4 linked regions of the Coturnix japonica genome follow. The protein of the gene in region 1 interacts with the protein of each later gene in a pairwise test. Links are inferred from orthologs where the notes say so. Each region holds a gene or a part of one and is shown in the gene's direction. Other genes may lie near its edges.

Region 1 (5,845 bases):
AACCTGCACTTCCACCTTCAATCACCCCTCTCAGTTTTTGTGCTATATGATTCAACGTACTCTGCAGCCATCCCTTTCCTGCTACCACTTTCCAGCTGCTCAAGCTGATGCTTCAATCAGACTCTTACCTTCCCTCTGGCTCCAGATCCAACTGCTACCACTGTTGCTTGCAGCACTTTCCCTTGAGCTTTTTCTGGAATCATGATGCCTCCTTTGGTTACAGTCTCTGCTGCGCATCGTTCAACCAGAACGCGATCAAACAGGGGAAGGAACTTCCTAAATGCTTTTCCTGCCTGTGAAGGGGCACAACGTTAAAGGAAAAACAGATGAACAAAAGCGCATCTAAAGCAAGAAAACCCACAACTAAGTGGGTGTCAGAGAACAAGAAGAAAGTTGAGCACTTCTTTTCCATAGAAGCGAATTATACCACCTGTGATTGCATTGCAGAGCTGTGCTATGACTGCTTCAAGCTCTTCAGAAGCAGCTCACTCCCAAGCTGCTCACACTGGGCACTCTGTGCCCTTAAGGCTCCTCGCTCCAGCTGAGGGAATGAGCCTCCAGCAGGTGGAGCAGGAGCCACATGTGGCTAATCCTAAACCGTTACTTAGTACGGCTCACTGAGAACAGCGGCTCACTGAGAACAGCTCGGTGATCACAAAGACAGAACTCAGTCAAGACTGAGGGCAGCTGCGTTTTCATTCACCGTAGCAGAGTATTTTATAGTAACAAACTGTCAGTCTAGGCCTGTAGCTGGTGCCTGTCTTTTTTGGGCAGTTTAAAGGCATGGCATTTCAGGTGATGTAAGAGAATTAATCAAGTCTGAAGTCCAAATGAAGACTGCTGTTAGTTGGAATGGAAGCAGCACTCCAGCTCCCACACAGGAGATGAAGGCAAGCACAGCACCCTGCTAAGCAGGGGCAGGAAAAGGAATTTGCTGTGGTTTAGGAGGAAAGCTATGGAGCCTTGCCAAGCCACATGGAGACAGTGTGATGCAAGGCAGGTACCCTGGGCTCACTGAAATGGCTAGAAGCAGCCTGGCAGCTGGGCACCCTCCACTGACACTGATCAGCACTGGAGCTTTAAAACTAGGGGGAAACGAAGCTGTAGGCAACGTGTGAGAGATGCATCCCCAGCTAAACTGCTATTACTGGAATGATGCAAGACATGGAAATGACTGTGAACCGGGATGATGTTCATTCTAAGAAAATACCAGTGCTGATCTCTTTCTCTTTAGATTCCCTGAAACCAAACGTTCTGTTCAACTGCAATCAGAACGCAGAATGCTGCCACTTTGTGCCTAAGCTTCAGGTAACACTGTGTCCTTCTGCCTGCTCTCACCAACGAGATGATCATCGTGGTCCTTTCCAGCGCTGGCCACTTTACGTTTCCTAATTTTATAAGGATCTTAATAACGATACACTGACGCAGGTACAAGGACAGCTGTGCCCTTAGGGCTCCTGCAGAGAAGCCCTGGATGGGAGCAGCTTACAGAGCACAGCACCAGCAGCTCCGTTTTCCCTCCCGCTCCTGCGGCCCCCAACGCAGCCCCCAAGGACTCGGTGACCTTGCAAACCCACTCCCAGCTCCGGGCCGGTCTAACCGAGCGTCCATAGGGCGCTAAGGCAGGACTGCAACGAAGGGCTCACCCGCTCTATCCCTGCCTGCCTCCATCCCCCCACAGCCCCACCGGCCGCATCAATCACCATCAATCACCATCAATTACCCTCCAGCAGCACCAAGCTGCCGACACCCCCATAGTGCGGCCTACTGCCCTGCGGACGGGCGGGGCGCAGCAGCGGGCACAGCCCCACGCAGGAGCGCAGGGCCGGGAACACGGGGCCGCGGCCGAGCGTGTGGTCAATCGCGGTGCCGGCTGTGGGGGCACATGCACACACACACACATACACTCACTCACACACTCACTCACACACTCACTCACCATGGCGGCTCCGTCCCGCTCCGCTCCGAGTGACCGCGCCGCTCCAAGCACACGTGAGGAAGGTCACCCCGTGCGCATGCGCAGCCGCCGACCCTGGCTCCTGGCCCCGCCCCGCCCCCAGCCGTGCCGCCCGGTGCCGCGGCTCCGTTATCCGCCGTCCCGGTGTCGGTGTGTGTCCCGGTGTGTGTCCCGGTGTGTCGCTGTGTGTCCCGGTGTGTCGCTGTGTGTCCCGGTGTGTCGCTGTGTGTCTCGGTGCTGTGGCGGTTCGGTTCGGGGCCGGGCCGGGACCGGGGTGGTGCTGCCACCCGGAAGTGAAGTCAGCCGCCCTCTGACCCGGGGCGAGCATGGGCATTCCAGAAGGTTCTGGAATTGGCGAGCCCCGGAACATGGGTGATTCATGCTCGGAGCCTCCTGCACATGCGCAGAGCGCGCCGTACGCCTAGATCCTTTTTTCCTCTATGGGCGGACCCAGACGCTATGCAGGTTGCGGGGCTCGGCCGCATGAGTGTGTGCCCGGCGGGGGCGGGGCCATGTGAGGGAGTGTGTGAGTGTGTGAGTGCGCGCCGCCCTGAGCGCCGTGCGGAGCGGAGAGCTGAGAACGCACACACAGCGCTACGGGACGCGCCGCCGGCACAACGCAGGTCAGTGGGGAGCCGAGCTGAGCTGTGCTGTGCCGTGCGGAGCTGTGCTGAGCCGTGCTGTGCTGGGGCGGGCCGCTCCTCACAGCGATGTGGTGGTGCTGAGGGAGCGCCGCGTGCTGACTTGGGCGGCCTTGCTCCCATTGCACGCCTGGTCCGGTGTGTGTGTGTGTGTGTGTGTGTGTATATGTGTGCAGCCCTGCTATGGCTCCTCACAGCCCCGTTGTGTTGCGGCCGGCTGCATTGTGGCCGGCAGGGGGCGGCGGGCTCTGACCTTGCGGCGCGTCCTGCTGTGGGGACGGGTGGGCATGTGGCTCCGAGCGCGGCCTGCGGGCGGACCATGTGCTGCTTTAAATCTGTATGGCTTTAACATCGGGTTTTACCCCCCAGACATGCTCCGTTTGCCCGCCGTACTCCGCCAGATCAGGCCGGTATCCCGAGCGCTCGCCCCGCACCTGACTCGGGCCTACGCCAAGGATGTGAAGTTCGGGGCGGACGCGCGGGCCCTGATGCTGCAGGGGGTGGATCTGCTGGCAGATGCCGTAGCCGTCACCATGGGGCCCAAGGTAACGGCGGGACGGGCTGCTATTGCGGGCGTGCCTTAAAACGTGGCGATAGGCGACGATAGTGTGCGTGGAGTCCCGTTACTTGCACGTGGGTAGAGCTGCGTGGCCATGTTCACATCGATCCCGTGGGCACAAAGGAGGACGGGCCGCTGCTCCCTGTGAGGGGCGCCTGCCTTCCTTTAGGCACTAAGGACGGCAAGGGGGCGACCGCGTGTTGGCTCGAGTTACTGCCCCTAACGGCGTGGTAGATAATTAACTCCTTCCAAAGGGAACAGTTACATTAGCGCTTATTTATTATCGGGCCAAATTACAGCTTTGTATCCTTTCATCTCCTACCAGCAGCAAAGTGGAAACACTCAAGGCGTAATGCTGAGCTTGCAGCCAGCTCTGAAATGCTTTAACCTTGATGGAAAATCCATGGCAGGGGCATCTATTGCTTGTAGGGTGCAGTGCAGTTTGGGAACCTCTGCAAGAAAATGAGCTGCTGTGTTCCGCACAGTCATACAACACAAAATGAGGCTCCTGCTAAAGGAGCAGATGCCTTTTTACTTCACATCTGTAGCAATGTTTGTTCCAAATCAGGTTCAGATAGTGATTTCTCTATGATTTCAGACCTGTTATCTGTTAATCTTCTCAAGGCTGCTTGGTACCTATTAAATTATTTCTCCTATGCACACCTTTGGAGCTTCACATGCTCCAAGTGTCATTAACTGGACACAGTTAAGGTTGAGGAGCAGCGATGTCAGCAATCTCTGGCTGCTTTCCATAAGAACAGCTCTCAATAAGAGGCTGCAGTGTCATCAGCTGATTTAACGCTTGGTTTGGGCTTAGGCTGCATTGTGAATGCCTGAGCTTGGCTTTAATGTGCTGGTTAAAGGGCACATCCTGATGCAACGTAGTGCAACCTCATGGAATCCTTGTTCATTTGCACTCAGTGCATCTGCTGGTCTCCAGGTATTTGTAGAGATTGATGGTTCTGTAACACCTCCTGATACAGCCTCCAGCATGTTGAAGAAATACCAGACTTATGAGGAAACTTCCCTTCTGCACTCATTCATATTTAAAGGAGCATGATTTCCAGTTTTGCACAATCTTTTGACATTGCTGCCAACAGGCCCATTGCTTTGTCACTGTAGTCCTTGATATGCAGGGCCACTCATAATGCAAGTGTGTTTCCTCTATTCACAATCATCACATCCTCATGTTGAGTGTAAGCTGTTCAATGCGATGGGATGTAAGTAGGTTTTCCTTAGTTACTCCTAACTACCAAACCCATTTGGAATAAGGCCTGTTCAAAACCAGGAATGAAATGGAGCAAACCAAGGAGGGGAGGAAGGACTTCTTTGGATTTAGTAACATTGTAGGTTGAATGAAATAGCACTAAAAACTTGTGTTAAATATTAACTTGATGTAATTGTTCTGCAGCACAGAATGAGCCATGTACCGGCTCTCTCACGTGCACAGAGCTGGTAACTGAAGCTTTACATTTCTTTTACGCAGTTCCTAGGGCTAATTGTACTTCAGGAGCCACGTAGCCTCTTGCACGGCAGCGTTGCATAGTTGTAACACTGAGGCAGACGTGAGTGGGCAGGGAACATGGTGCACCACAGTGGTAGCACGCTGTATCCGAGTCCTTGGATAGCTGGGCTTGTAAGCCAGGCTCTGCTCAGAGCTGAAGCCACGCTGGCACACAGCCACAGCAGCGTGAGCACCCAGCTGGGCCTGATGGGCCACCTGAGGGGACTTGTGCTGGCAGTGAGAGCAGTGAGGTGGGTGTTTGGTCTCCCTTCCCCACCTCCGAGTATTCCAGCTGTCACCGTAGCTGAAGAGATTCAGGGCAGCAGTGCTAGGGAGGTGGTTGCTTCTGCTGTCTCCAGCTGAAAGTCTGGAGTGTGATTGATTGGGGCAGCTATTCAGGCTGGGGACCTGTGTGAGAGGATATATCTGCCCTGTGTTCCTTGTACGGTCCTTAATTTTCCTTATCAATGTTGTACTTTAATTAGGATAGTTCAGCTTTAGTTAAAGCAAGTGCCACCAATTCTAGAGAAGTCAGTGTGGCACATGAATGCAATTGCACTGAGGGTTTTCTGTTCCTCATAGTCATCGTCAATGAGATCTGTAACTTTTCTCTGTTCAAAATGCACAAAGAATCGAGCTTCCTATGGCTGTGTTTCAATCATAGGCTTCTTACTGTGATTTAAGGGTTATCTGTGTTATCTGTTATCTGCCTTTCATTTAATGTTTCTTGTTTGTCACCCTAGGGAAGAACAGTCATTATTGAGCAAAGCTGGGGGAGTCCCAAAGTGACAAAGGATGGCGTGACAGTGGCAAAGGCAATCGACTTAAAGGACAAATACAAAAATATCGGAGCCAAATTAGTTCAAGATGTTGCCAATAATACAAATGAAGAGGCGGGAGATGGTACTACTACTGCAACGGTACTTGCACGGGCTATTGCCAAAGAAGGCTTTGAGAAGATCAGCAAAGGAGCTAATCCAGTGGAAATCAGGAGGGGTAATTCTTTCACCTATGTTTTCAATATTTAATTGCTAGCTTTTTCCCTTTGCACATGCTAAATCTGTCTGGTTTCCTCAATGAGTTGCCTTTTGTTGTAGAATCAAATGGGTTTTTTCTGTGCTATATGCCTTGTGTTGTTCACTGACAAGTATTCCACTCGTCTCTAGGGGTGATGCTCGCAGTTG
Region 2 (6,049 bases), on another chromosome or scaffold:
GCACAGTGGCATCCAACTGGTGGAGGGGGGGTGGAGGAAAGGAAGGAGGGAGATCTTGGGTGGTGCTGCCACCTCCCCCTGTGCCTGGCTGGGTGTCCCCAATGCTGGTGTTCCCCTTGCAGGACAGTGCTTGACACCATGCAGCACGCCGTCTACATGTATGACATCACCCACGTGGTGGTGGACAACCTGCAGTTCATGATGGGCCACGAGCAGCTCTCTGCAGACAGGTAATGCTTCTCTGGGAGTAGTGATACCACCTGGCTGTCCTGTCTGGTGTAGGAGCCCACATTAGAATCATTTGGATTGGAAAACACCTCAAAGATCATTGAGTCCAAACCCAGGCCATTCTCACTGTGCTCACTAAACCATGTCCCTTGGTGCCACATCTTTAACACCTGCAGGAAGGCTGATGTCACCACCAGCCCATTCCAGTCCCTCACTGCTCTCTGAGAAGAATGATCCTAATATCCAACCTGTCCCATTTTGGGGCAGTCACCCCCACTGAGCGCTGACACACATGGGGTTGTGGCACTGTCCCCATTTGCCCCCTTGCTGTTCCCCTGCAGGTTGGCAGCACAGGACTTCATCGTCGGCGCCTTCCGCAAGTTTGCCACCGACAACACGTGCCACATCACGCTGGTCATCCACCCGCGCAAGGAGGACGACGAGAAGGAGCTGCAGACCGCCTCCATCTTCGGCTCTGCCAAGGTGGCTCCTCCTGGGCCTCAGGCGGGGACAGGGTGGGGACATTGGCACGTCGCCGTGACCCAAACTGTGCTGCAGTGGGGCTGGGTGTCCCCTGCCATCTGGTGGCACGCGGCTGATTGATGCTCATCAGCTGTGGGTGGGATGTGGCATGAGTTGCTCCGTGGGGTAGCAGGGAGGACGCTGGGTGTGGGGGTGCCCCGTGCCCTGCAGCACCCCCTGGAGATGTTCTCCTCCCCCAGGCCAGCCAGGAGGCCGACAACGTCCTCATCCTGCAGGACCGCAAGCTCACGACGGGTCCCGGGAAGCGCTACCTGCAGGTGTCCAAGAACCGCTTTGATGGCGATGTAGGCGTCTTCCCGCTGGAATTCAACAAGGCCTCGCTCACCTTCTCCTCCTACGGCAAAAGCAAGGCCAAGCTGAAGAAGGTGAAGGAGGAGAAGGCGCCTTCACCCAAGAAGGGTCCCAATGGAGGAGGTGTGGGTGGCTCTGGCAAGCCCTGAGTGTGGCAGGGACAACCTTGGTACTCGGGCACACCAGGTGCCGTGCGGCTGCGCTCCTCCTGAGCAGAGCACGATGCTGGGAGATGGGAGAGGAGTGGATGTGCAGGCTTTGGGGTCTCTGTACCCTGAGCAGGTCAATATAGGGTTGCTAAGTGGAGGCTGATGGCCCAGGTTTACCTCCCGCACGGTGTGGTGCTAGTGCAGCTCTGCCGGCTCTGAGCCCGGCCCCTCTGGCCACATGTACCACCAGCAGCAGTAGCAGCAATGCCTCAGGGACACAGCCCTGGGCGCCTCGGAGCCTCTCATGGCAAAACACTGTGTCTGAGCCAGTCCTCCCCAGCACAGGGGAGCCCGCCGTGGGCTTTTGGCCCATCCCTCTGTTTTCTTTACACTTTTATTAAAGCAGAGCTGTTCAAGCTGTTTGTCCTTCGCTGCATGAGCGTCCCCGTGCTCCCATCCCCCATCCCTCCAACTTTGGGTCCCATTCAGCCCCGTGTCCATGCTGTGCGTGGGGCAGGACGGCACAGCGGGGCCCCATGGCCCCACGCACACACACACCTCCCGCCCCAGCGCTGACCCAGCACCGGGCACCTCCCCGCCACCGCGCCCCACGGCTCCCACGCGTGGGGCCGGGAGGAGGCATTGGCCGCCGCGCCGGGAGCCGGGCCCATGGCGGAGGACGGGGATGTGGAGGTGAGCGGGACGCAGCCCCCCCCGTGCTGCCTGCGGGGCCGTGGTGCGGGCTGAGGCCCTGCCGCCCCCTGAGGGCCCTTCGCTGCCGTCGCTGCCCCGCGGCCCGGCCGTAGGGCAACCCCCTGCCGCCTCCCATCCGCCGCGGGGCCGGGGGCCGGGGGCGGCGGGGCGGGCGGGGCCTGGCGCGGGCCGGGCCGGCGGAGAGCGGCGGTGCGGAGCGGAGCGTGAGCGAGGGCGGCCGGGCCTGGGCCGGAACGGGCCGGTGGGACCCGCGGGGACACAGTGGGGCGCTACGGAGAGGAGGGACGGGGGGGGGCGGCCCTGACCCCGCTCTCTCTTCCTTTTCCCGGCTCAGGGGGCGGCGGAGTCGGGCCGGGACCCGCCGGACGGATGGGCCGCGGCCGGCCAGGTGAGAAGCGGGGCGACCCGCAACGGGAGAGGGGGCCCGGCGTCACCCCGGGGTGATGCTGGGGGCGGTGGAAGCGGGGGGCGGCCCCGGGGCGGTGCCAGCGCGGCGGGCGGAGCGCGGCGGCCCGAGCGCATCATGGGGCGGCCCGGCCCGGGTGGGTCCGGCTCGGCCCGGGGGGACGCGTCGGTGTGGAGCTCCAGGGCGGGGGGAGGGGGCGGAGTGGGGACCGTGAGCTGTGGGAGAGAGGGGTGTAGGGACGGGATTGGGGAGCGGGGTGATGTTGGTGCCGGGGTTGGGGGGGTTGGGGAGGAGGATGCTTCAGGATGAGGTGTTTGGGGCGTCTCTCTGAGGCTGGAGCTGAGGTATGGCAGTGTAGGCAGCGCTGTGGGGCAGAGCAGGGGTGCAGGACCGGGAGCAGTGGGGCAGAGAAGGCACCGTGACTGCTACGCAGTGGGGACCCTGCTGAGTGCATGGGGCTGCCCCTGTGGGGCTCTTCCTTTGGGCCCTGCACGGGAGCACTGGTGCTGCGTGAGCCCCCTGCATGCCCCGTGCCTCCCCCTGCTCCGGCTAATCCCAGCTTTATGCTGTTCTGCTCGACGCCTGCTCATGCCCGGCATATCTCTTGCAGCCATCCCACATCTGCCTGCGCCATTATGGGGGTCCTATATTCATTGGTGTCCTATGGGATGAGTGAGTGAGTTTATTGCTTAAGGCCTCACGTTGCCTTTCTTTTACAGGCTGCCTGCGCCCCCCTGCCCGCTGGGGGCCCCCCTGCCATGGCCATTGTGCAGACACTGCCAGTTTCCATCGAGGCCACGCCTGAGGCTGCTGCCCAGCTCCGCACTGCCACCCGCTCCCCCCTGCCCACCCACGGCACCATGGGCAGTGTGGGCAGCCTGATTGCCAGCCGACCATGCCACGATCGCTCCTGCCAGCCTGCTGGTGCTGGTGGTTCCTTCCGTGTGCAGGATACGCTGCTGCGAGCCAGCCCCCCGGATCCCCTGCTCCACACTTTGCCCCCCAAGAAGCCGTGCTCAGCCACTGCCCATGCCTACACCAATGAAGTTTTTCATGGGGAGTGGCTGGAGGCAGCCTCTCCCGTCAGCCCCTGCAGCGACTCAGACGAGGCACGGGATGAACAAGCCCCAAGTGGTGGCATCCGGGGGCCGCCCCCCAAGCTTGTCCCTGTCTCTGGCAAGCTAGAAGAGGTAAGGTGGAAGCAGTGCTGGGGGATCTGCTCAGCCCTGTGCTGCACTGGGGCTGCTGGGCTTGGGGAGACGTGCTGGTGCATGCATAGAGAGAGCACATGGTCCATGTCGCTGGGGGTGGTGGTGATCTCTGTGCTCCTGCTGCCCTCTTCCTCATGTCAGGAGTGGCCATGTGTGTGTGGGAGCCTGTCTGAAACTGCTGCATGGAGCAGAGGGCACCTAGTGGTCATCTTCTATAGAGCTGTGACACTCTGAGGTGTTGGGTGGGAGCAGAATTGGTGGGGTTACCAAGTCCTCCCTGGTGCTCTGGCAGCATCCCCAGCATCTGCCAGGCCACCTCTGGAGTGTACCTGGTCCCCAGATCCCACTCTCTCCTCTTTTGCCTTGCAGAATGTGGAGAAGACCCTGATCCGCCCTATGGCATTCAAACCGGTGGTACCCAAAGTCAGGGCTGCTCCGGGCCCGGCCAGCCAAGGGGTACGTCCAGGGGCTGCAGCATTATCAGAGAGCCAGGTGAGCCTCACCCACCTGCTGGGGACCACCGGGGCCGACAAGCCTGGCTCACTGAGCTGCCGCACCAGCAGCCACTCAGGCACGCTCTCAGACTCGGGACGCAACTCTCTGTCCAGCCTGCCCACCTACAGCACAGGCTGCAGCCAACATACTGAGCCTGGCAACCTCACAGCCACCCCTCACAGCCACCCTGAGCCCCCAGGTGGCTACCGCCCACCAGCCGGCCCCTCCAACTCGGACAGTGGGCGCTCATCCTCCAGCAAAAGCACGGGCTCGCTGAGTGGCCGGGGCCGGCCCTCCTCCGAGAGTGGCTCCTGCGGGCGCTCGCCGCTGCCTGGTGAGGAGGTTCTGCTGGTGCGTGAACTGGAGGACAAGCTGCGGGAGAGGGAGGCCGAGCTGCAGCAGCTGCGGGACAGCCTGGATGAGAATGAGGTGGCCATCTGCCAGGTAAGAACCATATAAGGGTAAGGAGAACCAGGGGAGCTCTCAGGGCTGGGGGTGCCCATATAGTCCTATTGTGTAGATTTGGGTTATGCATGCAGTGATGTGTCTGGGGAACCCCATGGAGATTGTAGATGCTGACTTGGGGAGACATGGAGGTGGTGTGGGATGTGGGATGTCCCATCTCAGCGTGTGCCTGTGCCCAGGTGTATGAAGAGAAGCAGCGTCGCTGTGAGCAGGAGCTGGAGGGTTTGCGGCAGCGCTGTGCGGCCCAGGTGCGACAGGCGGCCCAGCAGGCGCAGCGTGGGCAGCAGGTCCTGCAGCTCCAGGTGCTGCAGCTGCAGCAGGAGAAGAAGCAACTGCAGGAGGACTTTGCTCAGCTGCTGCAGGAGCGGGAGCTGCTGGAGCGTCGCTGCGCATCCTTCCAGCGGGAGCACACTGAGCTGGGGCCACGGCTGGAGGAGACCAAGTGGGAGGTGAGCTATGCTGGGAACAACCGTGGTGTCCCTGTCACTCGGGGGCCAGGGTGGGGCCGTGGCCGGTGCCTGAGCATCTGCTGTCCACAGGTGTGCCAGAAGTCGGGTGAGATCTCCCTGCTGAAGCAGCAGCTGAAGGAGTCGCAGGCAGAACTGGCGCAGCGCGGTACGGAACTGCTGGTGCTGCGAGCGCAGCTGCGCGAGGCGCGGGCCGAGCTGCAGGCAGGTGAGCAGCAGGCACGGGGGCTGCAGGAGGCCGCCCGGCTGAAGGCACTGGAGCTGGAGGTGTGCGCCAATGAACTGCAGCGACGCAAGAGCGAGGCTGACCTGTTCCGTGCCAAAGCGGGCCGTCTGGAGCAGGAGGTGGCCGGGCTGCGGGATGCCGCCCGAGGATGCTGCCCTCAGCCCAGCGAGGGCTGCCCCGAGTCCGGTGAGGAGCTGCGGGGCATGGCGGGGCTGCAGCGGCAGCTGGAGAGGCTGCGGGCAGAGGTGGCCCTGGAGCGGCAGCGCGGGCAGGAGCAGCGGGACGCCTTCGAGCAGGAGCGCAGCACGTGGCAGGGAGAGAAGGAGAAGGTGATCCAGTACCAGAAGCAGCTGCAGCTGAACTACGTGCAGATGTACCGCCGCAACCGGCGCCTGGAGCAGCGGCTGCAACACCTCCGGCTGCAGGGAGAGGAACCCCCGACAGAACCCTGCGAGACCCCCGGCCCCGATCTGCCCTTTGAGGAGATCACGGCCACTGAGATCTGAGACACTGCCTGCCACAGCCCCTGGGATGTTGGGAGCTGTGGGGCTGAGAGCGGGTGTTCCCGCTTACCACTGCTATGCACTGGGAGGGGGCATTGGGGACCTCAGGTGCTGCCCCCTCCCCAGCATCGCGGTGTAGGTTGAGGTTGTGTTGGCTGCACCATGGCAGGGGGTGCCCGTGAGCTGTGGAGCCGAGGGGGTGCCATGTCTCAAAGCTGGTTCCTGCTGATCCTCTTAGCAGCCAGGGATTAGCGTGCTGACTTCAGCCAGGGTCACCTTGGGGAGGGTGCGTTGTCACCTCCCTCACATCCCTCCCAGCACTGTCACACAGCTGCTTCCCATAGGGACAGC
Region 3 (6,176 bases), on another chromosome or scaffold:
TTGGACACAGAGCAACAGAGGAGCTCAACAACACTTTCAAATAGGAACGGCAAGCATAAGACAAGCATGGACAAGTAGCCAACAGAGATGACTCATGAACTGTTTGGAAATGCATAAAGAAGATCTTTATATATATTTAATGTCACGCTGAAGTCTTCTCACGAGACAGTCTGATGGAATACAGAGTTCTGCACAAGGCAGGAGGTCTCCAAACTGCATAAATGTTTGTCAACACTAATAGATGAATGGCATGGCACATAGGACACTCTGAAAGCCAGCAGCTCATAGTACCTCACCTGGCTGGCCCACACCCCACAGCTTCCAACCCGACATAGGCTACAGCTCACCTTGCAGCCCTCACAGCTCACCTACCTGCTGCAGCCCACAAGCCTTCCCAAACCATGGGGTTATAAAGGTTGGAAAAGGCACCTAAGATCATCAAACGCAACTCTGACCCATCTGTGCAGATCCATATCCCTCATTGCCACAAACCCACAGTTCTCAACCTTCCACTTCCCTGGGCAGCCTGTGCCAATGCCTGACCACTCTTTTAGAGTGGAGATTTCTGACAGTATCCAAGAGACCCTTCCCTGGCACAACATAAGGCCACCACCTCTTCTGGACCTATTGCTACCACCTGCAAGAAGCCAATCCCCACCTCACACCAAGGGGAGCCATAGAAAACAACACAGTCTCCCAAATCACCCTCATCATCAGCCCAGATTCCCATACACACACACACACCCCACACCCTGCCATAACAGCCCCATAACAGCAAAATACAACCTATCCCCTCCAACCCCCACATCCCACCTTACCAACTGGTCCCACTCTGCACACAGCCCACCCCATCAGGCCCCATTCTTCCCCTCAGCCCCCTCTACACCCCCATAGGCCCCATTTACCCCCCATAGGCCCCATTTACCCCCATAGGCCCCATTTACCCCTCAGCCCCCCCTACACCCCCATTTCTAACCCTCAGCCCCCCCATACACCCCCACAGGGCCCCATTCTACCCCTCAGCGTAGCCCTCATACAGCCCAGCACGGGCCCATTCTACTCCCTGCAAGCGCCCCGCAAATACACCCATAGCCCATTTTTTTTTCCCTTAAACCCCCCTTTCCCAGGGGGGCCCCTCTCGCCCCCCACCCCCTTATCAACCCCCCCCCCCCCCCCCCCCACTTAGGCCCCATTAAATACCCCCAGCCCCCCCACAGGGCCCACCCTCATCATTATCACCCCGGCAAGCCCCCCCAGTAGGCCCCATAGGTCCCATTCTACCTCTAACCCCCATAGGCCCCATTCTTTAACTTTTTTCTACTTTGTTTTTCCGTTCGAATATCACCCTTTCAGCTTACCCCATACACCCCCATAGGCCCCATGGCTACCCCTCAGCCCCACCCCATAGGGCCCCATTCATACCCCTCAGCGCCCCCCCATAGGCCCCAGGTCCTACCTCAGCCCCATACACCCCATTAGGCCCCACACGAGATTCCCAACCTCCCTACCCCCGTAGGCCTCACCTCCATCCCTCGTTCCGCCGGTCCCGCTGTGGGTCCCTTCACCGCTCGCCACCCCCGAAGCGAAGAGGTTCCCTTGGGAATATTTGACGTCGCGGAAGAACTTCTTGGTCTCTCTCAGGTTCTGCTGTAACCTCGCTAAGTGCCGGTTGTAATGTCCGAAACAACGACACAGCTCCCGGCTCAACCCACCCCGCCACGAAGGGGCTCCTTCACCCTCCATCTCCTCCGTGTCCGTTCCTATATCCCCTCCCCACAACGCGGAACGCTCCGGCCCCTCCAGGCTGCGGCCTATCCGCCCCTCTCGGAGGAAACAACGCTAACCACAGCTGCCTGGCCTAGTCTTATCCCACCCCCCCCACCCCCCACCCTCCCTCCTCCCCTACCCCCAACCGGCTCCGCTTTCCTCCTCCTATGGGGCAGCGACTGTGCGAAGCGGAGCCGTGCGTCCCACGGAACCTTTATGGCGGCGCCGCGGGGCAAACGGGGAGGAGGGCAGCGGACGCTGCGCGCGAGGCATGCTGGGAGTTGTAGTTCACCCCCCCTACCACGCGGTGCACTCTGGGAAATGTAGTCCCACTAGTAACAACCCGGCGGTGCTACCTCAGCACCTCGCTCTTGACAGCTCCTCTGCTCCATCCACCAATCGCAGCTTTCGGTCCCTCCTTCTGCTTTCTGCTATTGGTTGGTTGAGATGTCAATCAAGAAGCTGATCTGTGGTGGTGGCGATGCCGGTGGGTGCGGAGCCGCCGAGGCGCGGTGCCGCCGCTCGGCCCGGTCACGGCGGGGCAGGAGCGGGAGGGACGACGGTTCGTATCCCGAGGGCACCACAAAGGCCGCCAGGGCACCGACCGCCACCACAACCACCGAGGCCATAAAGGACCCGGAGAGACGGAATGAAGCGGTGCCGTTCGGATGAGCTGCAGCAGCCCGAAGATAACGGGATAACGGGGGAACAACAAGGGGCTGCTGCTATGGAAGGCAAAGCGGGGGAGGTACCGGAGATGGGTGGTGGTGGTGGTGGGCCCACACCGAGAGCCAAACCGCCTGACCTGAAGGTGAGGAGTGGGGGGAGATGGGGGGTCCATTGGGGTTATTGGGAGGGTGAGTTGGGTTATAGGGGCAGGTAGGGCAATGTGAGCACAACATTGGGGTGTGGGGGTTATAGGGGGGATGTGGGGTGCTGGGGGGATGTGAGGGTTATGGGATGCTGGGGGGATGTGGGTGTGAGCCCAACATTGGGGTGTCTTGGGTTATAGGGGGGATGTGGGGTGCTGGGGGGATGTGGGTGTGAGCCCACAATTGGGGTATGGGGGTTATAGGGGGGATATGGGGTTATAGGGGGGATATGGGGTTATAGGGGGGATATGGGGTTATAGGGGGGATATGGGGGTTATAGGGGGGATGTGGGGTGTGGGGTGCTGGGGGTGTGAGCCCACCATTGGGGTGTGGGGTGCTGGGGGGATGTGGGTGTGAGCCCACAATTGGGTTATGGGGGTTATAGGGGGGATGTGGGGTGCTGGGGGGGTGTGGGTGTGAGCCCACTATTGGGGTGTTGGGGTGTTGGGGGGATGTGTGTCTTGATGTGTACCAATAGCACCAGCATGTGATCACCATGATGCTACAGGTTTCACCTTGAGGGATGGCCCTATGGTGGGCTTGGTCCCATGGGGGGGATGGGTACACAATAGGGATGGTCCAATGATGGGGGATGGCCCAACAGGAGGGATGGACACACAGTGGGATTGGTCCCATGATGGGGATGGTCCTAAGATGGGGATGGTCCTATGATAAGGGATGGTTCAAGCCACAACAGTAGAGATGGCCAAACAATGGGGACAGTCCAATGATGGGTTTGCTTTGGGGATGAAAATACTCTTGGGATGAGGGCAAAATACTTTTGGGATGAGGGTGCTCTTGGGATGATGATGCTCCCAGGGTTGAGGATGGTCCCACAGTGGTGATGCTCTCAGTTTGGGGATGCTCTTGGGATGGAGATGCCACTGGGATGAGCATATCCCTGCAGTGATGATGCTCATGGGATGAAGTGGTCCCACACTGCCCAAACAGCCCCAAGAATCCACCCACATCCCTTGGATGCACATCTAGTGTTAAGCTGGAGCTCGGCCCATCTTCAGCCACATCCAGCTCACGGCAGTGACCAGGCTGCCATTGATTTTATTGATGTGAGCACGGTGCCCAAATGCAGGTTTACCTCTTGATGTAGCCCGATAATTAATTGCCTTTATGGAGTCAATCCTCAAATGTGCTTCGTGCAGGAAAAAAAATGCATCCTAGTGCTGCCCGCAGCTCCCATAGGGAGCTCAGTGCTGGCCCTGCCACCAACACCACCAGTTCCTACTGCTGCCATCATTAGGAAGCAGTCCTATCTGCAAGTCCTACTGCCCACCCTTAAGAGCTGCAGCCCCACACTCAGCTCCCAGCAGGCAGTGAAGGAGCCTCAGGTGTAAACTGTGTGCTAGGACAGATTTGAGCTGGGAACGTGGAAACAAAGGGCTGCGTTGCATTGAATCCATCCCCAAACCCCAGCATAGCCCCACCAGCTTCCCTTTCCCCAGCCCTAACTCCTGTGCTAAGACCAAAGGCTCCATTAGGGAAAAAGAGGGGGGGAAAAAAGGAGTCCTGGCAAGGAGCAGAGCAGATGCATGACACACAGTTTTGCTTAAAAATATATTGGGTGGTGGAGATTTCTGCTCTGCAGCAGAATGGCTGGAGCCACACAAACACTGCAGCAGGGAGCACTCAGGCCTCCTGGCTGCAGCTCTGGGCTCACCAGGCCCTGCATAGGGACACTTAGTGCTCAGCTCTCACTCCTGTATCCTCAAGCATTTCAGATCTGGGTGTGTTTCTCTCTGTTTTCCTCAATGGTCCAATCTGTCAGCAGGCTGAAAGCTGAAGCCTGGCATCGTTTCCATCTCCAGTTTCACCATCTAGATCTTCTCTGCCCCAGCTCTTCCTTCCTCTGAACCTGAAAGCTGAGAGCAGCGGTGACCCCATAGCACTGGCCTCAGCCTTTCCCCTTCTTTGGGCCTGACCCAACCCCATGCAATGGGGAGCAGCCATTCAGGGGCTTCTTAGAGCTGAGGAGATGAAAAGCATTGGGGGAAAGGGGGGGTCCTGTTATGCAGCCCCATGAGCAGTGGGGTGGGATTGTGGTGGGCTGAGCTGTGAGCCTCGCAGGCAGGATGCAGAGGACAGCTCTCCATAAAGGACACCAGCCCCTGTTCTCAACCCGCAGGTACATTTCTATTTACTCCATCACACGAACAATTTTCCAAGCATATTTTGGTCTTAAAAGGACACCGCCAAGGTGAGACAGATCCCCTGTGGCTGCCGGAGCAGAGCTGCTGTCAGGCAGCTCCAGCAGCAGTGTGGTGACCAGAGCAGCTCCATCCATCACCTCCCCAGGGCATCACTTACCCACAGCTCCCAGAGTGCTGGCAAGGACCCCATTAGCTCCCCATGTCCCATGGGGGCTGTATGCTAAGCCCCTAACCCCCATAAAGGAGAGCATCTTCCCATGCAGGCGATGTTCAGATGCTGCAGCAAGAACCCCAGCGTGCTTTCAGTGTCCCTGCAGTTGATAACAGCAATGCAGAGGTAACAGCCATAGGCTGACGTTCTCCATGCTGTCATCCAGTGATTCTCCTCTCCATGCCCTATAGATATGGGGTCTGGAGACCCCCAGCTGCAGCAGCACCTGGTAGCCACAGCCAGTGGTTCAGATTTGCTTGCAGGCAGAGCTGCATATCACTACAGCACTTTGGTAGTGCACAGAGCGACATGACTAACGCTTGTCACATGTTTGTTCTCTCCTCCTGTCCCCAAGAGGAGAAGCGTGGGGGGGGGGAAGTGCTTTATTTGCCATTTAAGAACATCTATATATTTGTGGTCGAAGGGTTCTGTCCTCCCTTGGTGCCCTGAGGTGCTGGGTGTTTTAGGATGGGATGGGATGGGATGGGATGGGATGGGATGGGATGGGATGGGATGGGATGGGATGGGATGCAATGGGATGCAATGGGATGCAATGGGATGCAATGGGATGCAATGGGAATGGGGTGGATAGGAGCAGCCATGCAATGGGATGCAGTGGGATGCAATGGGATGCAGTGGGATGCAATGGGATGCAATGGGATGCAATGGGATGGGATGCAATGGGATGGGATGCAATGGGATGCTATGGGATGGGATGCAGTGGGATCCAATGGGATGCAGTGGGATGGGACGGGATAAAATGGGATGCAATGGGATGGGATGCAATGGGATGCAATGGGAGGGATGCAATGGGATGCAATGGGAGGGATGCAATGGGATGCAATGGGATGGGATGCAGTGGGATCCAATGGGATGCAGTGGGATGCAGAGGGGTAGTTTTCCACTCTCTCTATGCAGTGCCTCCAATGGGCTGCAGAATACTGGCTGGAGCCTCTGGGCATGCAAAGGGTATACATTATTAATAGAAATAGTAATAATAATTGAACCTGGTGTGAGACTGTGCTTTATGGTCGTGGTGATAAGATCCCCGCCTTGTGTGAGCATCTGAAACCTGAGAAATGGGGTTTGGATGTCAGGGCAGGGCCCATCAAAGAGCTGGAAAACCTTTGGTAAGGCACCAAGAGGTTCTTCTGTGCCAAA
Region 4 (5,993 bases), on another chromosome or scaffold:
TCAAAAATACACACAGGTAACACTTGAGTTTTATTTATGATATGCATCAATTCCTAATCTTCACACTTGTAATGCTGAGATCTGACTCTGTGCCAAATTTGTCACATATTTGTGACATAAAGGAGTGCATACATCACATTCTTCACTCTGGTCCTAAAATGCACTAAAACCTTTGTTGTGACCTCACTGACAGCCGTGTAGAGGTCTGTTAAAGATTAATGTATCTGTAGTCTGCAGTGCCATAGATTATTTCTCACAAGTGAATGCTGATAGAAGACTAGAGTGCTATTTTCCCAGCTCCCCTATCTGGAATATTTGCAAGGAAGTGAGCAAGCACTTTTGAGACATATTTTGAAGTTTGTGTGTAGTGACCCTTAATATTATGTTCTTTAAATAAACTTCTAAACTGTCATCACTTTATTATCCCTAAAGTGCACAACCCACATTTCCATGTGCAAATGGACATTGTGCTGTAGAGTTGGTTGCACAGTGATAAAAGTGTATATGGCTTTTCATGGCTGTCATTTGCTTGATGCTTTTTAAATGTTAGTATCTCCATGTCTGCTTTAGCAATAACTATTCTGGGATGCAGACCTTCTACTGGATTGAAGTAATGACCTTTCCACCATTTTAATGTATCTCTCTACTTTTCTACTGGTTATTAAGGATAGTATAGTTCTGCTTTGCATTAAGTTTTACCTTTCAAGTTTTTTGGTTTGATTTGGTTTTTTTTTTGAGACTTTTTGAGTCTCATTCTTTGCAATGAAGTAAAAAGTGTGACAAGAAGGTGTGATTTTTAATTTACACCAGAGTTCTCAGCAAATAATGACTTCTCACACCCTGTTATTGCTGCTTAGCCTGGGGGAGGAGTTGTATGGCTACTGTTGTCATATCATATTAAATCCACTTGTGTAATTCAGCAAGACATTCCCCTTAAACTTAACCCTTTTAAGCTGCTGAAGGGTACCGGCATAATCTGAGTGTGTCTGTCTTGGTGGATCTCTGCAGTTGAGGGGAAATGGTGGTATGCTACTTAGTTATTTATTTACTTTTTTCTTGGTAGTTCCATAGAATAGGTACTGCTGAGGTTTGCATGGGTATACCAACGTTGCTCTGACAGCAGAGCAAGGCTGTGTACAGAATCATAGAATCCTTTGAGTTGGAAGGCACCTCTGAGGGCCACCTTGTCCAACTCTGATGCAGAGCACAGGGGCACCGCAGTTAGATCAGACTGCCCAGGGCCTGATCCAGCCTCACATTGAAAGTCTCCAGAAATGGGGTACCAACCACAATACAAGGTAACCTAGGAACTAGTAAGCTAGGTCGTGTTTTGAGCAAGGAAGTACTTAGCTGACAACGTCAGACACTCATGTTCACATCTGAAAAATCTTGCCTGTATGATTTGCTCTAATATTGTCCAGAGTGGATTGCAAAGCACAATTATGGCACATTAGGTGCTCCCTTATGTAGTGGAGCTAAGGCACATTAAGAGTAAAATCATTCTCAGAGAGTTTTCTACTGTCAGAGTTGGCACTCCGGGGATGTACCCGTCCCGCCACGGTGTCACCTCGTTCCGGAGCCTCCTGTTGCCTGAGGAACGCGACCAGAGGCTGCCAGCGGGGACTGTTCCCTCCCCACCCCACCAGATTTAATGTCACTAATTGTCGTTAATTGGCTGTTAAGCGTTTGCCTGACTACCCATTGGTTGTGCAGAAGGGGTTAATGTGCTTGATGTTCTACAAGCATACAAACGACAGACTCTTATCCGATGGTTTTGGTTGTCTTTCCTTTTTTGTGTGTGTCTTTCTTTAAGATGTCAGCCGCGGTGGTGGTGAATTTCACACCTTATTTTTTTTTTCCTCTCTGTATGGAAACCTGGGTGTTAATGGTGATGGAGCAGGTCGTGTTTTATAAGGAATGAGGCTGTCTCTGGGAGCAGAGAGAAAGCGGCGAAAGGAGAGGAGGTGAGGAAAGAGATTTAAGGAAGCTGCCACCCGCGACAGGCATTAGTTGGATTATCCTCACTCTTTCTTTTTTCAGAGCATGTAAACATAAGTGCATTCGCAAAGTACTTTATTCTTTCTATATTTTTTTCCTCTAGTTCTGCATGAAAATAGTCTTCTCTTTTCGCTTCCCAGTGAAACTTAGCTGTGCCAACCTAACGATGGAAAGTTGGTCTGTGGATCAAGTCTGCAACTGGCTGAGACAGAGCAATTTAGCAGAACTAGTTCCTAAGTTTCGTGGTAGGCAATTCTTGTTGTTTCTGAGTTTCTTTTATCTTTTAAAAATGCTTTTAATTGTTTACTTAGCTTGTTTGGGGGCTGGCATGCAAGTAAGCTAAAATAAGTGCAAGTTTGTGATGTGGTCTTTGAGAAGCACAGGGGGAAAGTCTAAGGCTGCTTGTAAAGAGGTGCGCTTTCTCTTGAGAGACAGCTGTCAGTGCTACAAGCATAACAGGTTCTATTTTATACCGCTACAGTTGCATTATTTCAGAGGGTGCATACTCTAAATGTGTTTGTGTATATAAACACTAAAAAAGTACAGGAGAAACTGCAAGGTGAACATGCTCTGTGCTGTGTGCTCCTTGCACTTCTTCATTATGGAAAAACAAAACGAACAATCCAACAATCTGCTGCGGTCAAAGTAAGGTCTGATTTTAAGAATTATAATATTAATTCACTGCTTCTGTGCATTTCAGACATAGCATTCTCTTACTGGAAGGTAAGAGATCACTGGGCACTGACTTGAACTTCTGGCAGTGGAAAGGACAGTACCTAAAAGACATCATTTCTTTAAAGCAGCTGAAGAAACAGAGCACTAATAGAAAGTATCTTTGATTTTGTCCTAAAATACCATCCCATTTCTAGCCATGTAGGATGTTTCTATAGCTTTAAAATTACTTCAAAGTGATTGTAATATCCTTCAATCAGCAGAAGAAGTAAGTGGAGCAGCTCTGTTGGCTCTGAATGATCGTATGGTGCAGCAGCTGGTGAAGAAGATCGGGCACCAAGCATTGCTAATGGACCTGATTAATAACTACAAGCAACAAAAACGTGGGCTGCAATCCTTTGCATGTGTCTGTGAAGCAGGTTTGCCAACGCTTCCTGAGATCAGTGGGTGAGTACATACAGAAAACATCAGTCTGATATGAAATTATTCTTTCTGTAGTACTTCAGATCTGATGTTTACTAGCTAGAGAGCTAGTAAAAACTTCAAAACTTCAGAAATTCCAAAAAGAAAAAAAAAGTCATTACTATAAATGTAAACTCTGAATAATCTCTAACAGTGTGTTAAATGTGAAATATAGACATTACCACATGAGCATCAACATTGCTACCATTACTTTAATCAGTTCTGGCTCTAGAATTCAGTTTTAATTTGCACAAATTGTCATCAAACTCCTGAACTTTCACTTTCGTTGAAACTTTCTGTATTTGCTGTATTAAACCTTTGAGGCTGTTATTTTCAAATGCTCTTTGAACAAGGCCCAGTAAGAATGACTTCATTTAAAGACTCCTGACTGGAACAGTATATAGGAAATGTTGTTTTGAAGTAATGTTAAGTTCTTACCCACGAGAGTGGTGAGGTGCTGGAACAGGCTGCCCAGAGAGGTTGTGGATGCCCCGTCCCTGGATGTGTTCAAGACCAGGTTGGATGGGGCCGTTGGCAGCCTGGTCTAGTATTAGATATGGAAGTTGGTGGCCCTGCCTGTGGCAGAGGGTTGGAGATTCACGATCCTTGAGATCCCTTCCAGCCCAGTCCATTCTGTGACAATGTAATAATTTCACTCTCTCTGTACAAGAAACAAAGATTCATAGATCCACAGCATTCATTATATTGCATTTTGTGTTGCTTAAAGATGTAAGCCTGAATTTCAGTGTTTGCTGTATGAGCATTGTTGCCACATGAAGCTTTCCTGCTAGTGTCAGCTATGGCTGAGTCATCACTGTGACAGTGGTGCCTGAGTCCATGTGAAGATAAACTACCTTGTCTCTCCTGCTGCTGAGATTCCAAGAGCTATCAGCTGTATTTCCCTGACACGCTAATTAAATCAATACTACCCTAGCACTTGAGGGTGCACTACTGCTTGCCCTCTTCTTCATCTTGTCCTCAGTGTATCTTCCTTCTGTACATGAACTGAATTTAGCTCAATTCCTTTCCTTTTAGGGAACAAAACTAAATCTGTTTACAGGATATAGTTCCAAGTGCAGTAAGTGAATGCTTTCTGTGCAGTAGTCATTTCCAGTAGTTTAGACTGGGACAATTAAGAAATAGGATCTTGTGTTCATTACTGGGAAGGTGGGGAACTTCTGAGCCAAGCAGTAGAAACTGTTTACATATGAGAAGCTGATATAGAGACATTACCAAGTAATTGTCAAGATACTTTTGACCTCCAAGTATGATTGAAGGTAGAAGCCACATGTACATTGATGTATAGTGACAATAATGTAAAGATGGTACAAGAGAGGTGGTGATAAGTATCCAAAAGGTTATTTAAAAGAAAGACTCACCCAATAGAGGCTTTCAGTCTGCTAGAAAACACTGAGACAATCTCTACCAAGGAGCAATCTCAAAGAGATGCTGCTTCAGTGGCGGTCAGCCCTTAAATAAAGTCTAGAGAAGGTAGAGTCAGGCTCCACCCCTTCCGGGAGCACAGCTGAATTACCCTCACCTGTGTTCCCACAGCTGACCCGAAACTTGCCTCAGCTGATTAATCAGAGGTTCAGGCTGTGATTACCAATTTCCCATACACCACTGAAGGACAGTATCAGATTTCTCTGATTTTAATTGGATGTCTGGAAACATGCGTGACTTCAAGATGCATTGATTCATGAAAAAGGGAAACTCCTCATACAAATCTGGCCAACAGCGATGTCACTTATAGCAACAGCATCTCATGTGAGTGTAGTTGAGGATGGAACAGTTTACAGAGCATCCTCTAGTTCAGAGCTTCTGAAGAGATGGGTCATAGAAAGAAGTTATGCCTTCCCAAAAGAAAAGTGTCATAGTCTGTGGAAGATCTAGTGTATCAGTGCATATTTACTCTTCCCCTAAGACAAGTTCTAGCAATTTTCAGAGAGGCTTTAGCAGCAGCGCTTACAGTAGCAAAACTGGTAATAACGTCACATTGGTGGCTTCATCCAGAATTTTTTTTATGTGTTTCAGTTAATGACTAGAGAATGACTCAGACTCACATTAGGGTGAATCTGTGTTGATGGGCATCTTGTTGTACATAATGTACTGTTGGTGAAGAATATCTGTTAAACTGTTTCCTGCTTCTGTGTAGCTTTAACTTTGATAAGGCAGAGCCTAATTAATTATGGTGAAAAGAAAGAATAGGCAAACATGCAACACCTAACATCTACCTAACAAAGTCACCAGCTTCTTCTGATCTGTAATGCAAAAAAAAAAAAACAAAACAAAAAAACCCAAAAGCTGACAGCATTCCAATAGCCCCTGTCTTACAGGGTAAAACTGTCAAATATTGCTTCCTATAAGCACAAGAAGAAATAACAGTAAAGTGAGGAGGGGAGAGAGGAGGATGCAAAGGTGAAATGAAGGCAAGTGGTTTGGAGTAGGGATTTCTGGCATGCAGTAATGTGGGTATCAGAAGTTTTTGGAGCAAGTGACTAGCTGAAGTTAGAGCAAATAACCAGGAACAGACAGAGGTGAGATTGGGTAGTGTTCACAGAGGTGTTAGGATGGTTGGAGTAATGTAAAACTAATTCAAAGGTTCAAGATGGGCTCAGCCTTCAAAAGGTGGAAAAAAAAGTTCCAAAGTTCTAGCTGAATATAAACTGCCATTAAATACTGTGTAACTTTCTTTCTCTTCCCCATCCCTGCATACAATATTTGTATTTATGCTTAGTGACTGGGAAATGTCAGGCAATGAAGGTGAAAGTTATCCTGCAAGCCAGAGGTTCATTTTCTTGGATTTTGTTACTGTGTAGTTTTTAGAATATTGCTAGGCAGTATGACTGTTTACAGTTTTC

Evidence for each region.
Region 2: the proteins of HSPD1 (region 1) and LZTS2 interact in binary tests that used the Homo sapiens proteins (3 or more experiments, as listed by UniProt). The two-hybrid records come from large-scale screens. The link is inferred for Coturnix japonica from reciprocal best matches to the Homo sapiens genes HSPD1 and LZTS2.
Region 3: the proteins of HSPD1 (region 1) and TMCC2 interact in a two-hybrid assay, tested with the Homo sapiens proteins (2 studies listed by BioGRID). The two-hybrid records come from large-scale screens. The link is inferred for Coturnix japonica from reciprocal best matches to the Homo sapiens genes HSPD1 and TMCC2.
Region 4: the proteins of HSPD1 (region 1) and SAMD3 interact in binary tests that used the Homo sapiens proteins (3 or more experiments, as listed by UniProt). The two-hybrid records come from large-scale screens. The link is inferred for Coturnix japonica from reciprocal best matches to the Homo sapiens genes HSPD1 and SAMD3.

The regions. Positions count from the first base shown.
Region 1 is NC_029522.1:5,659-11,503, forward strand, and holds the start of HSPD1 (60 kDa heat shock protein, mitochondrial), read left to right. Parts: upstream 1-2,444; 5' UTR 2,445-2,580; intron 2,581-2,967; 5' UTR 2,968-2,969; coding exon 2,970-3,143; intron 3,144-5,404; coding exon 5,405-5,657; intron 5,658-5,827; coding exon 5,828-5,845. Other genes in the region: HSPE1 (10 kDa heat shock protein, mitochondrial), read right to left, coding at 129-293, 1,940-1,942. UniProt on the Homo sapiens protein: Chaperonin implicated in mitochondrial protein import and macromolecular assembly. Together with Hsp10, facilitates the correct folding of imported proteins.
Region 2 is NC_029521.1:20,198,586-20,204,634, reverse strand, and holds the start of LZTS2 (leucine zipper putative tumor suppressor 2), read left to right. Parts: upstream 1-2,093; 5' UTR 2,094-2,313; intron 2,314-2,402; exon of another isoform or gene 2,403-2,495; intron 2,496-3,050; 5' UTR 3,051-3,089; coding exon 3,090-3,521; intron 3,522-3,911; coding exon 3,912-4,481; intron 4,482-4,681; coding exon 4,682-4,951; intron 4,952-5,041; coding exon 5,042-5,701; 3' UTR 5,702-6,049. Other genes in the region: TWNK (twinkle protein, mitochondrial), read left to right, coding at 123-230, 570-711, 951-1,211. UniProt on the Homo sapiens protein: Negative regulator of katanin-mediated microtubule severing and release from the centrosome. Required for central spindle formation and the completion of cytokinesis.
Region 3 is NC_029541.1:2,357,949-2,364,124, forward strand, and holds the start of TMCC2 (transmembrane and coiled-coil domains protein 2), read left to right. Parts: upstream 1-2,220; 5' UTR 2,221-2,416; coding exon 2,417-2,578; intron 2,579-6,176.
Region 4 is NC_029518.1:52,441,719-52,447,711, forward strand, and holds the start of SAMD3 (sterile alpha motif domain-containing protein 3), read left to right. Parts: upstream 1-2,037; 5' UTR 2,038-2,107; coding exon 2,108-2,243; intron 2,244-2,930; coding exon 2,931-3,117; intron 3,118-5,993.